Alligator mississippiensis: one gene and its partner. Each later gene encodes a partner of the first gene's protein in a complex. Links are inferred from orthologs where the notes say so. Each region holds a gene or a part of one and is shown on either strand. Other genes may lie near its edges. The genes, in order: ANP32A and NME1.

Evidence for each region.
Region 2: ANP32A (region 1) and NME1 share a complex: the UniProt entries of both Homo sapiens proteins name them as parts of the SET complex. The link is inferred for Alligator mississippiensis from reciprocal best matches to the Homo sapiens genes ANP32A and NME1.

Annotation. Positions count from the first base shown.
Region 1 is NC_081834.1:3,203,087-3,211,185, forward strand, and holds the start of ANP32A (acidic leucine-rich nuclear phosphoprotein 32 family member A), read left to right. Parts: upstream 1-4,479; 5' UTR 4,480-4,621; coding exon 4,622-4,675; intron 4,676-6,374; exon of another isoform or gene 6,375-6,389; coding exon of another isoform or gene 6,390-6,407; intron 6,408-8,099. UniProt on the Homo sapiens protein: Multifunctional protein that is involved in the regulation of many processes including tumor suppression, apoptosis, cell cycle progression or transcription. Promotes apoptosis by favouring the activation of caspase-9/CASP9 and allowing apoptosome formation.
Region 2 is NC_081831.1:10,433,004-10,441,069, reverse strand, and holds the start of NME1 (nucleoside diphosphate kinase A), read left to right. Parts: upstream 1-4,857; 5' UTR 4,858-6,355; intron 6,356-8,066. Other genes in the region: SPAG9 (C-Jun-amino-terminal kinase-interacting protein 4), read right to left, coding at 4,303-4,608. UniProt on the Homo sapiens protein: Major role in the synthesis of nucleoside triphosphates other than ATP. The ATP gamma phosphate is transferred to the NDP beta phosphate via a ping-pong mechanism, using a phosphorylated active-site intermediate.

The DNA of each region.
Region 1 (8,099 bases):
ACACCAAATCATGCTCTGACACTGGAGTAAGAGACTGCCTTGCTCCGGGTTTGGCAAGGTGTGGCAGAAGTACTGCAAACCCTGCACAAAATCCAACAGTACAGTGCCCATGTCCCAGTAAAGCGATTGCTAAACCTCAGTTCGCACTCTTGTTAGATTGTGAAGACCCAGGTACACTTAATACACTTTACAGACTATGTGCTCACAGGAAACATTATCACAAGTATACACTAGCAAAGGCAATATGAGGAAGTAACTTTTTTGTTGCAATCTTTGGTGTAAAATGGAAACTTTCTGCACATTATATTGCAAAAAGCAGTTTCTCGGCTAGTCCCTACCATTAAAGAGATGTTTTACCTGTTGTTTTGGGGTTACATGTATTTAATAATAGTTTGCATTAATAAATCTTTCCACCCCATGTCTCAAAATACTCCATATGCATTACTGAATTACCTTTGCCACTCCCCTGGGCAGTTGTTATCCCATTTCACATCTGGGGGAAAATGAGGCACAGAGCTTAACTTTCCCCTAAGGGTAAATAGGAAGCCTGCGATAGAATAAAAAATAGGACTGACCTGAAACGATCCTTCCTGTTACTCTTGTGCGCAAGATGACTCCAAATTTGTATCAGATTTTATTCTTTTTGCACTAGATGGATTTTCATTTTGCTTTCTTTATATCGCAGAGAGTAAAGCCTTTTCATAGACTTTTCAGAGTAAAGTTTAATTTCCTGACTCAATTCCTTTCCATTCCACTACTCAGGCTCAGTATGCTCTCCACTATGAGTACACTCATTTTTCTTGATTCAGCCCATGATTCTGCTCATGCACTGAATAGTTGGTTGGAAGACAACAACAAGCTGGTCCATTATCAGTCGCAGTGTTATTTTTATATGGATATTTCTATGCTGCTTGTTTCTTTGAACTAGCAAAAAATTGCCACGACACAACTTGGTTTGTACTGCTGTGAACAAGCTCCTCTGTCACTTCTTGTCTGAGTTTCCCTGTTTATATTAGCTATTACTCCAAACATAATTTTTTTAACATAATTTGGAATACTAGAGATCTGGTTATGCAGCCAGTGTTTGCAAACAACTTGCAATGAAATCAAAGGGAATTGTTCATGTACAACTACCACCATGTATCTGCAGGTCCCAGGAGTCTTAGGAGTAAAAAAAAGAAAAAAGAAAAAAAAAGACATATTTCTCATTTGTCGTGAACTAATATAACTCAGGTCATTTTATTTATTACAAAACACAATTCTGGACAAAGCACCAAATCAGAACAAACCTGAAGCTTGGATCTAGATCTAATCTTTCTCACTCCTGGGTAACCTAGGATAGATAGACACAAGGGTGAAAGCCATTAACACTAGCCTCCAGCCATCGTCCTCACTACCCCTTCCCTTTTTTCTTCTTCCAAAAGATTTTAAGCACTGGACTTTTAAGAGGCCAGGAGACCTGAACTCACTGCTGCAGGCACAGTAAAGATCTATTAGGTTTAAGCAGCAACTGAAAGCACACATACTTCACAAAATTAAAGAAACAAGGAGTGCACTCGAGAGTTTTGGAGCACAGCAGGGGAAACCAGGCTGCTAGAATCAATTTTTAGACATTAATTAGTATTTGTTATCCTCTGCCCATGTAGTTACTGACAGATTCCTCTGTAGCTAAGGAAAAATACAATAATATGGGCAATCATACAGATGAAGTAGAGGCACAGGTTACACACTGGGTGAAATGTTTATCAGCAAAGACTCTTGCACCCACAGTATTAACTGTTCACTGTATTTGGAAAACAATGGCATACCAATAGAAATTTTGGAGTATTTTCACCTTCCCACAGAAAATAAATTAATGATTGGCTCAACTTCCTGTCATTACTATACAAGGACTCTGGTCACACCCCATGCTTAGTTTCTCTAAACCTGCAAGATCCCATAAAACTCATAAGAAAGCAATACTTTGAGGTTGATAACAATATATCTAACGTAAGATGGATCTGGCAATCATATTCAGGGAAATGCCTACTGAAATAGCCCTGTTAAGGTGGTATTTTGTAATCACTTGAAATAAACACTATCTTTCCGCATTACGAAGAGAACAAAATTATGTCTTTATTAATTTAAACAATATAATCACGCATATGTTATTTTAAGTCTTCTCTTGTGTTGTAAAAGGGATCGATATCACACAAACCACGTTACAGTGATGACACAAAAATGTAATTTGTTTACAAAACTGTATCTACCCACGACAATCATCTGAAATGCATTAACAGTTGTGAAGCGTGGCTCTCGTGTTTGGGCGCTTTTTCTCTGCTGGGAGAAACAATGCCAAATCCATAAATATGTACTCTGATTTTCAACTTATGGAGGATTGGGCGGGGGGAGCTATATATATATATTAGTTTGTCCACCCCCCATAGATATATTGATTCCTAGATAGATAAACAGATAGAAATGGAAACATTTCCATGTGTATTTTCTTCAAAATATTGGTGTGATCTCACCTATAGAGGATGTATATGTATCATTCATTTTAAGAAGCATTTTTTTAATGTTATACAAGCGAACAAAAACAAAGCTAAACTTTATTGCACAAGTCTTTCATTTGGATGAAAGTGAAGGAAAAATATTTATATTACTCAGAAACCTTTTTTACAATACAACTCTACTTAAGGCCATTACACTTATTCCCACGGTAAACGCGACTTTCCCGAGGCGTTCAGCTCCACTGTTCACACTCAATCCAGGCCAAAATTGTGCATTTGTTTTTTTCTACAGAGCCAGTTTTGCCTGCACGTGAAAAGGACGTGCTACTTTTAAACTAAAATTCACTCACGTACCCAGGAACCTTAAAAATGTTTTACAAACATTACTTTTTATTTTTTTTTTTTGCCAATTTACTTAATTTTGGTCTTAGTGGAACGTGCAGCAGAAGTAAATAAAAATGACCCATCCAAGGGTCAGACGGAGTCAGAAGCAGGGCCAAAATAAGAAGTCAGGCATCTAGGCTCTGATCTACTGTTTAGAAGACGAGACCATCTGTAGGAAACGAGCAACTATCTTTTTGATCGCCTTCGAGACACTTCTGCTACCAATTATCAATTGACTGTTGGGGGGGGGTGTTTTTGAGTATTTTTCAACATAACTTGGCTCCCACTTCTCCCAGGAAATGTACATGGGGGTCACCACTGAAGTGCCTTACCTTGCCCGTCGCTCACCGTTTTGCACACCCGTGCACAACGAAGCGCTAGAGGCCGTGACTGCGCTGCCCACCGCCACCCCCCCACCCCCCGTGACACAGCCCGGCGCGGGCCGACCGGACACCTCGCGGGCGAGCCTCGGACCCTGCCACACGGCCAGCACGGAGCTCACCTCAGACTAGATCACCTGAGGGAGGTCACCTCAGAGTAGGTCACCTGAGGGAGGTCACCTCAGAGTAGATCACCTCAGAGCAGATCACCCAGGGGAGGTCACCTTGGAGTAGATCACTGCAGGGAGGTCACCTCAGGCTAGGTCACCTGAGGGAGGTCACCTGAGAGTAGATCACCTCAGAGTAGATCACCCGGGGGAGGTCACCTTGGAGTAGATCACCTCAGGGAGGTCACCTCAGTAGATCACCTCAGAGCAGATCACCCGGGGAAGGTCACCTTGGAGTAGATCACTGCAGGGAGGTCACCTCAGGCTAGGTCACCTGAGGGAGGTCACCTGAGAGTAGATCACCTCAGAGTAGATCACCCGGGGGAGGTCACCTTGGAGTAGATCACCTCAGGGAGGTCACCTCAGACTAGGTCACCTGAGGGAGGTCACCTCAGAGTAGATCACCTCAGAGTAGATCACCTCAGAGTAGGTCACCTGAGGGAGGTCACCTCAGAGTAGGTCACCTCAGAGTAGGTCGCCTGAGGGAGGTCGCCTGAGGGAGGTCACCCCAGGGTAGATTGCCTCAAGGAGGTCACCTCAGAGTAGATCGCCTCAGAGTAGATCACCTCAGAGTAAGTCACGTCGGAGTAGATCACCTCAAGGAGGTCACCCCGGAGTAGATCGCCTGAGAGGTCGCCTCAGAGTAGATCCCCAGCCCCTTCATAGGCCAGGAGGGAGATCACCTCAGGGTGGATCCGCGCCCTCCCCCACGCGCGCGAGGCGGCGCCCCCTCTCCTTCCCCCCCACCCCCGCGCGAGCGCCCCCCTCACGCGCGCCACGAGTGTCCGCACGGCCCCGGGGGGCGGAGGCGGGGCGGGGGCGGGGCGGGGGCTCCCGCGGGCGCGGGCGGCTCCGCGCCCGTCCGCCAGCAGCGCGGAATGCCCGTCGCGCGCCCGCCCGCCCGGCGCCGGCCCGGCCTCGCCTCTGCCGCCATTGGCCGGCGCCGCCCCTCGGCGCGCCGCATTGGCCGGCGCCGCCGGCTCGGGCGCGCCCATTGGCGGGCGCGGCCGCCCGTCCCCTCCGAGTCCCCACGGCAGCGCCCGCCCCCGCAGCCATCAGGTTGGGGTGTCCGCCGCGGGGTGGTGGGCTCGGGGATCCCGAGCGGAGCTGGTTGCGCGCTCACAGTCCCTGGCCGCGCTGGCGTTGGGGGGGTCCGCCTGGGTGTCACTGCACGCGACGAGCCGGGCCAGCCACGGACATGGACATGAAGAAAAGGATCCACTTAGAGCTGCGGAACAGGACGCCCTCGGATGTAAGCCATGCATGCATGCATGCAAAAAAAAAAAAAAAAAAAATCGAAACCCCCCCCTCTCTCCCCTTTTTTTGCGGGAGGGGGGGCGCATTGCAAAGCGAGGGGTGCCCCATGCCCTGCCAGCACCCCCCGGCGTGCACCCCTGCATGCACGCCTGGGGAGGGGAGGAGGGGGGGCAGCCCGATGCTGCATTTGGAGGGGCTGCAAGAAAAGACAAGTTGCTGCCCCTCTCCGGCTGGGCTTAATTTTTTTATTTTTTTTTTTTTGGTGTGTGTTGTTGTGTGGTGGTGTTTTGTTTTGTTTTGTGTGTGTGTGTTGTGTGTGTGTTTTCTTTTTTTTTTTTTTTGCTTTGCAAAAGGTTTGCAGCGGGTGCTGGCCCGGGGAGGGACTTGGGAAGGGCCGGGAGTTTAAAGTGCGCCTTCATTTCTTTGCAGTGATCAGGCAGGAGAGACTGGGGAGCCATATTTGTAACTTTGTAGTCCTCATGAACGCGCCCTTTCTCTCTCCCTGCCTCTCTCCAGATGCTTGCCAGACCCCAAACGCCCCGGGTTTTTAAAGACAAAAGCAGCCGGGTTGAGCTGCCCGCCCAGCAGACACGCTCCTGGGGGGCGAGAGGGCAGAGGAAAGCGGCGCAATCCCCCTCGGCCGGGCGGGCGGGCGGGCGCTCTCCGTGCACACACACACACACACACGCACAAAAAGGCGGTGTGGGTTTTTTGCAGCTCGGGGTTGGACTTTGCTGGGTGGTTCAGCTGAATAAACGGGGACAAGAAACTTTGTCAGGACGAAAATAGTCCCCGAGTGGCTGCGTACCAATGATGCGGAGGGGGGGAACCCCCCCCAAACCCCCTCCCTAATCATCTCTGTGCTTTTTTTGTTGTTGTTGCTTTTTGCGTTGTAAGAGAGAGGCACAGCAAAGTTGGGAGGACCCCCCCTCCTCTTCCTCGCCTCTTGCCCGATGCACCCCAGGACCAAGGAGGGGTGCACCCCTTCCTGGGGGAGGGGGGGGCGGACCGGAGTGCAACCCCCCCAGCAATTGGGGGTCCGCCTCCCGGGTCCCACATGGGGCTGATTTGGGGAGGAGAGGTCATTACATAATGGCTTAAATAACAGCGCGGTGGGTCGGGGGGGGGGAAGCGGGGAGGATTCAGGTCGTCCCCCCCACAACCACCCTCCTTGTGCCACAAGGGCAGGGGGGAGCTGGGCAGCAGGATGCTCGGTGCAACCTGCGCTTTAAAGTTGCAAAAAGTCCAGGGCGGGGGGGAGCCGGGCCGAGCCCGGGGCTCGCGGTTGCGGGCGCCCGGGGACAAAGGGGCGAAGCCGGGGAGCTGAAATGCAACCCCCCTCCCGCCCTCCCAACTTTGCATCCCCGCCTGGGCAGGCCGCGGTGCAGCCCAAGTAGGACAAGGCGCCATGTTGTTGGGGGTTTTTTGGGGGGGGTCTTCCCCCTGTCGAGCTCGGAAGGAGAAAGGGGGGTGGGCAGGGGGGGCTGCCTCGGTGCAAACGCGCCCGGGCTGCTCTCGGGGGGGGGGGGGGGGGGTATGTGCAAGCGGCGGTGTGCGTGCATGCAAGGGGGGGGGGGGGGTGGTTTTAATCCTCGCCGGCGCAAAAGTTTCTCCCGATCCGCCCTGCCCTGCTGGCGAAGCCCTTTGTGGCGGCGCCCGGGTGCGGGGCGGCTTGTGCACGCGTGTGCAAGGCAGAGCGCGCGTGCAACATGACTGCCAGCGCTCAGGTCTGCCATTTTGTCACTGTTGTCGCGGAGTTGGAAGGGGAGGAGGCGGCGGGGGGAGGGGGAGGAACAAGCCAAGAAGACAAAAAGCTTTTTTTTTTTTTTTCTTTTAAATCCCCCCCCTCCTCCTTTTATCCTTTTTGATGATTTAAACAGAAAAGCGGGGTCCCGATCCCCGGAGTGGAGTGAGCTGGGCTGGCGGTGGCAGGGGGCTTGCTTTCCCTGGCAGCTGGCAGGAGCCTGTGTCTTTAAATCGAACGTTGGTACCTCGAAATGGAACGTCGCGGTCGCCAGCGTTCCATGCGGCTGCAACATTCCGAGGGGCGGCTCGAGCCTCCCCCCACTGCGCAGCGATGCTGGTGGATGGGCGCGGGGTTGTTATCCAGGCCCCACAGTGCTCCAGGGGGGACAGAGGAGGTCGTTTGCGTCATGCAGGGTTTTCGGGGGGGTCGGGTGGGGGGGAGTGATGATCCAAAATGCCTGCTGCAGCTTCCCAAGGCAGGGAGCGCATTATCGATGAGTGGGGAAGACGCCTTCTTCCTGGGCAGGGCCCTCCGGGAAGGTAGGTCTCTGGTGTGTGTGTGTGTGTGTGTGTGTGTGTGTGTGTGTGTGTGTGTGTGTTAATGGATTAATATCAGGGCTGCACCCCATTTTCAGCAGGGGCAGATTTTAGGATTTGATCCAAATGGGGACGTCTAAGAGGCAGGGGTTGTTTTGGTTTTTTTTAATATCCATTTATTTATTTATTTATTTATTTTGGTTAACTTCCTCCTCCTGGTTTGGATTGTTGCAAAGTCCAATTTTAAAAGACTTATTTTGCGCAGCAGCGTTGGCGGGGACGTCTTTAATTTGGATCTGTTTTGGAGCGAGACGTGCCGCCTGGACCGCTCTGTTCTTAAGATATAAGTGCCACCTTGTTTCACCTGCTCAGTCTTCGATTCGGTGAATTACCCCACCGCAGAGCAACTGCCGTGCTTCCGAAACGCAGCATTTCACCGTGCGCTTTTGCTTTGCCCTTCTGCAGGTTATTAAAGGGGGGAAATGCCGTTCAGGATTGCTGTTTTGTAATGCGGAATTTGGGTGGTGATGGATGCACACATGCGCCTTCTGATCTGGAGGAAGGAAGTGTACAGCTTGGGTCCTAGGCAGGCAAACTTCTTTGAGTAGATGTGATATCTTTTATTAGACCTCTTTAAAATGCCCCCTCACATTAGGGTTAGTTTATTGGTCCTTGTAGGGTTTGCACTTTTTAAAAGTTTACCCGTTATCCACCATTTTAGACGGATTTTACTGGACACTTCATCATTAATTCTTTTTTCTGTGAGGTCCTCCTTGCTTAGGTAAAGATGATGCAGTGTGGTTAGGAAGTAACTGGCAGATGCATGGTTCCCACTACTCTTTAACCTTTGGGTTTTGTTTTGGGTTTTTGGGTGGTTTTTTTGTTCTGCTGAGAGTGTTGTTTTTAAAGCCCCATGAAGAAATGTATTCCAGTAAGAAAATTAGCTTTCACAGTACAGAAGCCAAATCAGCTGAATGTGAAGCTGCTGAGCATTTGTGCCAAAATACTGCATCATGTTCTGTTTTTTAATAGACACTAATGTCAGCTTTTTGCAAGATAAAGGCTTTGCAGGTCAAAGGTAGATGTATTTAACCATCCGCTACAACAGTGTATCCAAATTTCCTCATCTTACTTGA
Region 2 (8,066 bases), on another chromosome or scaffold:
ATAATTCTAAAATCTATTTAAAAACTAGAAAGATGATGCGTGTATGGTAGTGGCAAATTTGGGTAACCCAATATGCATCAGAAAAGGTTTATTCTTCTAAAAATAGTTAGACATTGCCTCCCTTTTTCATTTTCCATGTCCAATTAATCTACACATCAAACCCATTTAGTACAAAGCCAGAAGCTGTCTAATTCCCTTTCCCCACCTGCAAAAATGGTAGGCATGGATTAAGTGTTAAGTTTCAAGAGTTGCTTAGTTTCATAAGCAAATTGACAAGTCTGTAAAGCCCAAATACAGGATAAACCACTGAGCTCAACAGTAAAATTGCTTGCTGTTGCTGCATATTGTTTTAGAAGCCCAGAAGTACCATCAAGTCAGATTGTGGCTCCCACAGGAGCGCACAGGGCTACATTTGGGCTTGGGTAGTTAGCAGAAGATTGTTATGGGAATTTGAACAAGAACAACTGGAAGTGTATTACTAAATAAAATACACTAGCCTGCCAATGGCTTCCTTTTTCTGGTTCTAGTACAAGGAACCTCAGAAATGGGCTTTTAGCAACCAGTTTTCCCAACAGTCACCTTGTAAAAATAAATTACTTAAGACACGGGCAAAATATCCAGCTCTCCCCCATCCTCAGTTTTCAGATCACACGACAAGAGTGAACATTCATGACTGTTGATCAACTTATGCAGATGACTTCTTCCCGATTTGGAAAACTGCTCACGTGCATCATTCACTGAAAGAACGATGAGCAGCTACAGAGCATTCAAAAAGTTAACAGAATTTTACTTCTTATTTTTGAAGACTGACACTGAAATAACCCTACAATCATAACTTCCACAACATTGCACACTACCACTAAGAAAAAGAAAAATGGAGCATGCAGGTTTAAGAACAGTTAAGCAAAGAATGTTCCAAACTATGAAACGTGAATATTAATCATGAGACTACTGCAAAATCACAATTCCTAAATGCTCATTATAAGAGAGAAGAATCATTTAGAGTAGTCCAAGTACGACAGTAGTCCTTTATTAGGACCCCTTTACTATCACAGAGAGGAAACAACTATTTACCACTGGTTGTTTACTCAAAAAGGTCAAAAACACCATTTTAGCCACCATTTTACATAAAACACTGTGCCTGTTGTAAAACTAATACTGCAAACCTGAAACTCATGTTTTCCCCCTTCATTTGAGTCCTGGCTGGTGCAGAATTGTTACGACAGCTCATATTCCAACCAAATTTTCAGAAGGTAAGCGCAATGAAAGAATCTAAAAACCACACTTAGATTTTATGACCATTAAGTTTTCATGCATGTATCTGAAAACTGGACAACTGTAAGTAACTTGAATACAGTGACTGTACAAGGCATACTAACTGAAGGAACAACAGTGCTCGCATGCAGAAGCTAGGTCTTTGAGGGAATGGACATTACGTACTTTTTCTTTTTTAAAAACAAGTGTAAAAAAGAGGAACAAACACCATGCAGTCCTACACCAGTATACCTTCTGAAACTGGATAGAAAATTACCCAAGGAAAAAACCAGGGGCAAAACTACGCTGATGTAAGTGTCATGCGTCTGCAGCTTATCTCAGGGTGTCAGGTCTGCCCAGAGCAAACAAACCACTATCTGCTCCACCACAATCTAGTTGCAGGGCACTGTAATGACTGTGTACTGCATGGAAATAACCACATAGGTCAGACTGCTCTGCAGCCCAGTACATTTAACAGTGTACTCCACTTCTGTGCATACTGGATCAGTGTAAAATTCATTTTACTGGTTAGCTTAAGAAAAACATGAGCTTGACATTGTGCTATCTGCATATCATCCAAGTACTTACACTAGTGAAGCATAAAGAACCTTTCAGACAAAACTACCTACTCGGTGATGTAATTATACTCTGTTTAACTGCATAATTAGCACCAGACACAACAATGGGAAAGCAACCATCAAGGGGCTGATATTAGAAGACTTGAAAATGACAGTATTTAGTCAGGTTCAGGGGTGCTGATACAGCAAGGACAGAATTCAATATTTAAGGAGCTCCGTTGACAGGCTATAACTTTAAACGGGGTATGCCATATATCTACGTATCAAACAGCTGTAAATTACATTGGTGGAAAGAAGTTATGTCCATTCCCTAAGCTAGTTATAGTTTCTGAGACTCCTAACAAGTTCTGCTGAAGCAACTAGGCAGCAAATCTAGTCCAGTTAATAAATCGGTAGAAATAGATCGTGAAGCAATTAAGTTACCACAAGAGTTGCAGAAATACCTACAGATCTGCAACTTCTCAAGAGTCCAAGAGCACTGATACAACTAATAGCATCATATTTTGTAGGGGTGTGCAAAGCTGGCCGTATTCAATTCAAATTCAACCCGAATCGGGGACAGTGATTCAATTTCTTGATTCAGACTGCTGTCCCTGATTCGATTCGGCCAAACCCAAAGATTCAATGCTGATTTGGAGTCAGCGATTCAGCCACAGACGCAGCTTTAAATGTTTTTTGTACATACTTTGAGGTACCAGGCCTGACTCGTGAGCGTTGCAATGCTGGGGCAGATGGAGCGTCCCGCACAGGAGCATGGGGAGGCACCCCTGCATGCTCAGCAACGAACCCAGAAGCGGACTGGAAGTACTGAGTGCACAGGGGCCCCCCCCACAGCTTGGTGATCGGGTTTGGGGGGACCCCAGGTGTGCCCCCCAGACCCAGGAGGCACTAGTTATTGAGCTGGAGGAGGACGCAGGGGGGGCCCCCCTGCATGCTCCCTGACAGGCCCAGAAGTGCTTCTGGTTCACTTCCACGTCTGCTGCCAAACGCACTGGGGAGTCCCCTGCGCTCTTACAAGACACTCTGCCCGCCCCAGCATCGCAGCACTCACGACCCGCCTGGTATCTCGAGGTATGTAGGAAAAAAACATTTAAAGCTATGCCTATGGCTGAATTGTCGAATCTTTCCAAATCTCTCTGAATCGATTAAAGGGTCTTCCGATTCGATTTGGATTCGGAGATTTGGCCACTGAATCTCCACTGAGACTATTAGTCTTCTTATGGATTTGGACACGCAAACTCGACTAAAATCTTCAGGGAAAAAGATGGGCATAGTCAGTGTCCTGGGAGAAAGAAATTTAAAGCCCCAAATGATAGTGTAAGAATACAAAATGATGATGTTCTGATGCAAGGGCAGCTTTCCTGTTTTCCTCCCTCCAAGACTATGTGAATTTGAATGAATGACCTTGTAACGCCCACACGGGCGGCTTACTGTCATCAGCCAAGTACCAGTCTTGAGCAACCTGCATTACCTGTTGCTCAGCTGAAGCGTCCCATTCCCTGGCCCTTGAGCTTTCCACAGGGACAAACCCTTGCTGCTTCTGTCCAGGCCACAACGCAGCGCCACGTCCCAGGCCGGCCGCCCCGGCCACTCACAAGTAACAGCCCCAAGTCCCCCCAAGCTCCTCAACCTCCATGCATTTGCCGAAGGGGGAAGCGGGCGCTGGGGAAGTCCTTAATGCCTGGCTCCCTGGTCTGCCCTGCCAGCAGCATCGCTAAGTGAGAAGGAAACCAGCTGTGGGGTGGAGGAGCCAGGACGAGGAGAGGGGCGAGGGGAGCCGACCTCGAAAGTCACAGGAAGAGAAAGAGGGAAAGGACCGGGAAGGGCCATGGGGCTTCTCTGCCAGTGCTAGGAGGAGGCCGGGTGGCTTGGGCACCCGGAGGGGAGGCAGCGGAGGCCACAGGGCTGCCAGAGGGTGCTGCAAGGGAAACTGCCTGGGGAGGCAATAAAGGGGGGGCACAATGAGCGGGGCAATGAAGGGAGGGATAGTGAGGGGGGCAATGAAGGGAGGGGTAATGAGGGGGGCAATGAAGGGAGGAGTAATGAGGGGGGCAATGAAGGGAGGAGTAATGAGGGGGGCAATGAAGGGAGGAGTAATGAGGGGGGCAATGAAGGGAGGGGTAATGAGGGGGGAAATGAAGGGAGGGGTAATGAGGGGGGAAATGAAGGGAGGGGTAATGAGGGGGGATAATGAGGGGGGCAATGAAGGGAGGAGTAATGAGGGGGGCAATGAATGGAGGGATAGTGAGCAGGGCAATGAAAGGAGGAATAGTGAGGGGGGCAATGAAGGGAGGGGTAATGAGGGGGGCAATGAAGGAAGGGGTAATGAGGGGGGATAATGAAGGGAGGGGTAAGGAAGGGAGGGGTAATGCGGGGGGCAAGGAAGGGGAGACTGAGGGGGCCGGTCCCCCGCCCCAGGGCAGGCAGGCAGGCAGGCAGGCGGGGCGGGGCGGGCGGGCGGCTCACGCACCTCCTCGGCCTGCTTGCGCAGCGCCTTCTCGCGCTCGTACTGCGTGAGGAGCTGCTCGTTGTCGTCGCGCAGGAGCTCCAGCTCCACGCTGGTCTCCTGGCTGTGCGCGCACACCGAGTCCAGGTTCTCCAGCACGGCCACCACGAGCGGCATCAGCTCGGCCACCACCTCCTCGTCGTAGCGCCCGATGAGGCGCTCGAACTCGCGGTAGATGGAGCCCGCCAGCCCCGACACCCGCTCCGACATCATGGCGGGGCCCGGGCCGCCCGGCTCCTCCTGGTACACCACGCCGTCCGCCAGCTCCATGGCCGCGGCGCTGCCTCGCTCCGGCGGGACGGGACGGGACGGGACGGGACGGGCGGCAGCTCCTGCTCCCTCTGCGGCGGGGCCTCGCCTACCGCGCGGGCGGGGCCGGGCGCGAGGCGGCGGCGCACGGCACTGACCTCACCAGGGCGGGGCGCGGGGCAGTGGCGTCACGGGCGGAGGGGCGCGGGCCGTGACGTCACTGGGGCGGGGCTTAGCCGGGGAGGAGGCGGGGTCGGTGGGCGAGCCGGGGGTGCTCTTGCGAATGTCTCGGGGCGGGAGACGCGTCGTGGAATCCTGGGACACCGCGGGCGATTGTGACGCCACCGAGCCCTGCGGGCCCCGCCCCCCTGCCCTGGCCCGGTGGCTGCGCTGGGGGCGCGGGGCAGGGACGGCTCGTGCCCTGCGCTGCTGCTGCCGCCTCCTGATGACACGTGGAGCATTCACAGGAGGCGCAGGAACCTTGCTTGGGACGAACGGAGTCACCGGCCAGACCTGGGACTAGATTTAAGGGCTCACGGCTCCCAGACCCGTGCTGCGCCCATGGGGCTTGGCCAGCCTCTGAGCACAAAAAGCCCGGCTTCTTCCTGAGGTGTAACAAAGGGATGGGACTGGCCCAGTCCCGGGATCTCCTGGGCGTATACGGACAACATTTCATAGAAGCAGGACGCTGGCTGCTGCGATGTCCCTGCTGCATGTGTGGCAGCTTAGGGGGTTAGGTCTGTGCCGTCAGGGTTGACGGTCCTCTTATGGAGAGGTTAGAATAGATGATGGTTTGTATGGGATGGTTTGGATAGATGACCTCAGGAAGTCCCTTCCAGTCCTACTTCTCTGTGATGCAGTTATCTTGTGCAAGAGTGGGTGATGGTGCCCGAAAGCTTGCTGAGAACTGTTTCCCAACTACTCAGTTGGTCTAATAAAAGATATCACATCTACCCAAAGAACCTTGCCTGCCAGCGTGGGATTAGGGAAGAATCTGTTTAAAAAGGCAAATGAATGGAGCAGTGACAATCTACCACCGGCAATTGTGTTATTTTCCACTGGAGAGCAGCAGAAGCTTACGTTACGCTTTCCTTTGTTTGGCCTGATCCAGAGGCAGTTACTGAACTTAAAATGTGTCTGCATCGTTTGTTTAAATCCACCGAGCTGGTGGGACTGCAGAGAGGGAAACTAGAGGAGGTGCAAGATTGAAAAGAATGTGGCCAAGTGTTTTGAAGATGTAGAAGAGTTATGTTCCTTAAACCAGTACCGTAAACAAGTATGGCCAGCCAAAAAGGAGCCTGAGAGTTAATTAGGAAGTACAGGGGCACACAGCTGACCTGTTTACTAGCCCAAACTGAGGAAAACAAGATGACATTTTCAGTTGTAATCCCATTTTAGGTCTGATTTGGCATGTTTTTCATACATGAAACTTTCAGTTAAGCTGTTGGATCACACCCTTGAATACATATCAGACATGGTCTTTCTTTAGTCTTTGTCCCTGGAGAGATCACCTGCAGCTTTCTTATGTTTCTCTGCCTTTGCTATTTCCTTGGCAAGGGACTGTTGAGAGGAGCTGACTTCCAGGATTTCTCTCATCCTTCAAGTGACCGTTTTACTCATTGCACAGCTGTTCAAACCAGTGGTGACACCCACTTCTCATGGATTTTCTACACGGCTTCACTAAACCTTGCAGGGATATCACTGACGGCAAAGTGGCTCCATTATGCCATCATCCAGACAGTCTTGAAGAGGCACCTTTCTGACTGAGGTGGGGTTTTAACTCCATCCTTGCAACCTTATATAGAAGAAGCGTTTCCTTTTTCACAAAGGAATTATTGTAAGCAAACTGAGATGGCTCTAAGGTGAAAAGGTTGATAAGTTTGAGTTTCTCTAAGTAGGATTTTATTGACAATTATTTTCATCAAATAATGCAAATGCAGAAGTTCCAGACACATATGTATTGCCAGACAGCAAAAATGGGTCACAGTGCTTTGCTGAAAGCCATCAAAGGAGGGGGCTCTCTGAGGACCATCTGTTCTACATCAGCAGTGTTAGTAGAAACAGAACAGAGAGGCTTTCTTTCGTATTGCTGTGGTAGTCCACTAGGACTCCAATCCAGCCAGAGGTTCCCCAGGAACCTACAAGCTAGGGGGATGGCTTTAATAGGCTATGGTCTGCTGACTGTATTATTTCCAGTCCGATGATGTTTCCTTACGTGGATCAGCACATTTAGAAAAACTGTAATCTGAAAGCATGTGTTGCAAGGGGATTTATGTAGGTGCTCATCATATCCTGCCTACTGGCCTGTCACTCTGCTCCTATTTTGTCATATGTACCTTTGAATTGGTTGTGGCCAGGAAGCTGATCATTAGAAACAGAAAAAGATGTTTCCACCCACAGGGATGCATAGCCTTGTTGCTTGCTAAGACATTAAGGAATTTTTATAAATGATCACCCTAGGCCATGTCTACACGTGCATTTACGCTGACTTAAATTTACTATGCAGTAAACTACTAGGGGCACGTCTAGTAACTGTGTGTGTGGACTGACTTGGGACTAAAATTAGTCCCAAGTCCATCCACACACACTGTTACTACGTAGTAAGGCATCTACATGTGCATTACTGTGCAGTAACTGGGGGTAAATTTGATACCTGCATGATGCAGGTATCAAATTTATGCTCAAGTCAGCATAAGTCACCATATTTACTGTGCAGTACAGGCGTGCACATGTAGACACATAGCTATACTGTGCACTAAATGCGCATGTGTAGATGTGCCCCTAGTTAACTAATTAAGCATTAAGGAGTAGGAGGCGCCCTGTCTGTTACTCTGAGATGCTAGGTGGTGTCCAATAAAGGAAAAAGTACAATTCATGCCCTTAGGAATTAATACCGGATAAAATGAGAGTTTGCCAGGTAGTGAGATACAAAATTTTCTCTATCCCTAGAAATGACAGTTTGTTTGAAAATTAAATAGATTTAAAAAAAAATACTGCAGAAGGAAATTAGGCCTCAAATGAGTTTAGGATGAAATTTTAACTGGGACATTACCCAGAGGAGATTATTTGAGTAGAAATCAAATACACCCTAGATGAGAGGGTGTGGTCATGATAACCAAATCATCAACATGCAAAGCTGGTGCAGCTACACATCACAGCTCTCTCAGTCTAATTATAAAGAGAAATATAAACTAAGTTATGAAGCTTGGAACCAGACAGCAATTTTACCCTTGCCTGGGGTTACAGATATATAGGGTTTTAGCTCATACCATGATAAACTTGGGACCAGAGCCACGAATTTAGGGTCCATATCTGCAATTTCCTAAATATTTTTCAGGTGTCCATATTCATGGCTTTGGGTTAGGTCTGTCTTGAAAAATCTCAGGTGGTATACAAACACGCTGGACTCAATCAACAGTTCACTGTTGTATAGCAGAGACATCTCCTTCACACTTCAGCTGTATGTTCTGTACATTTAT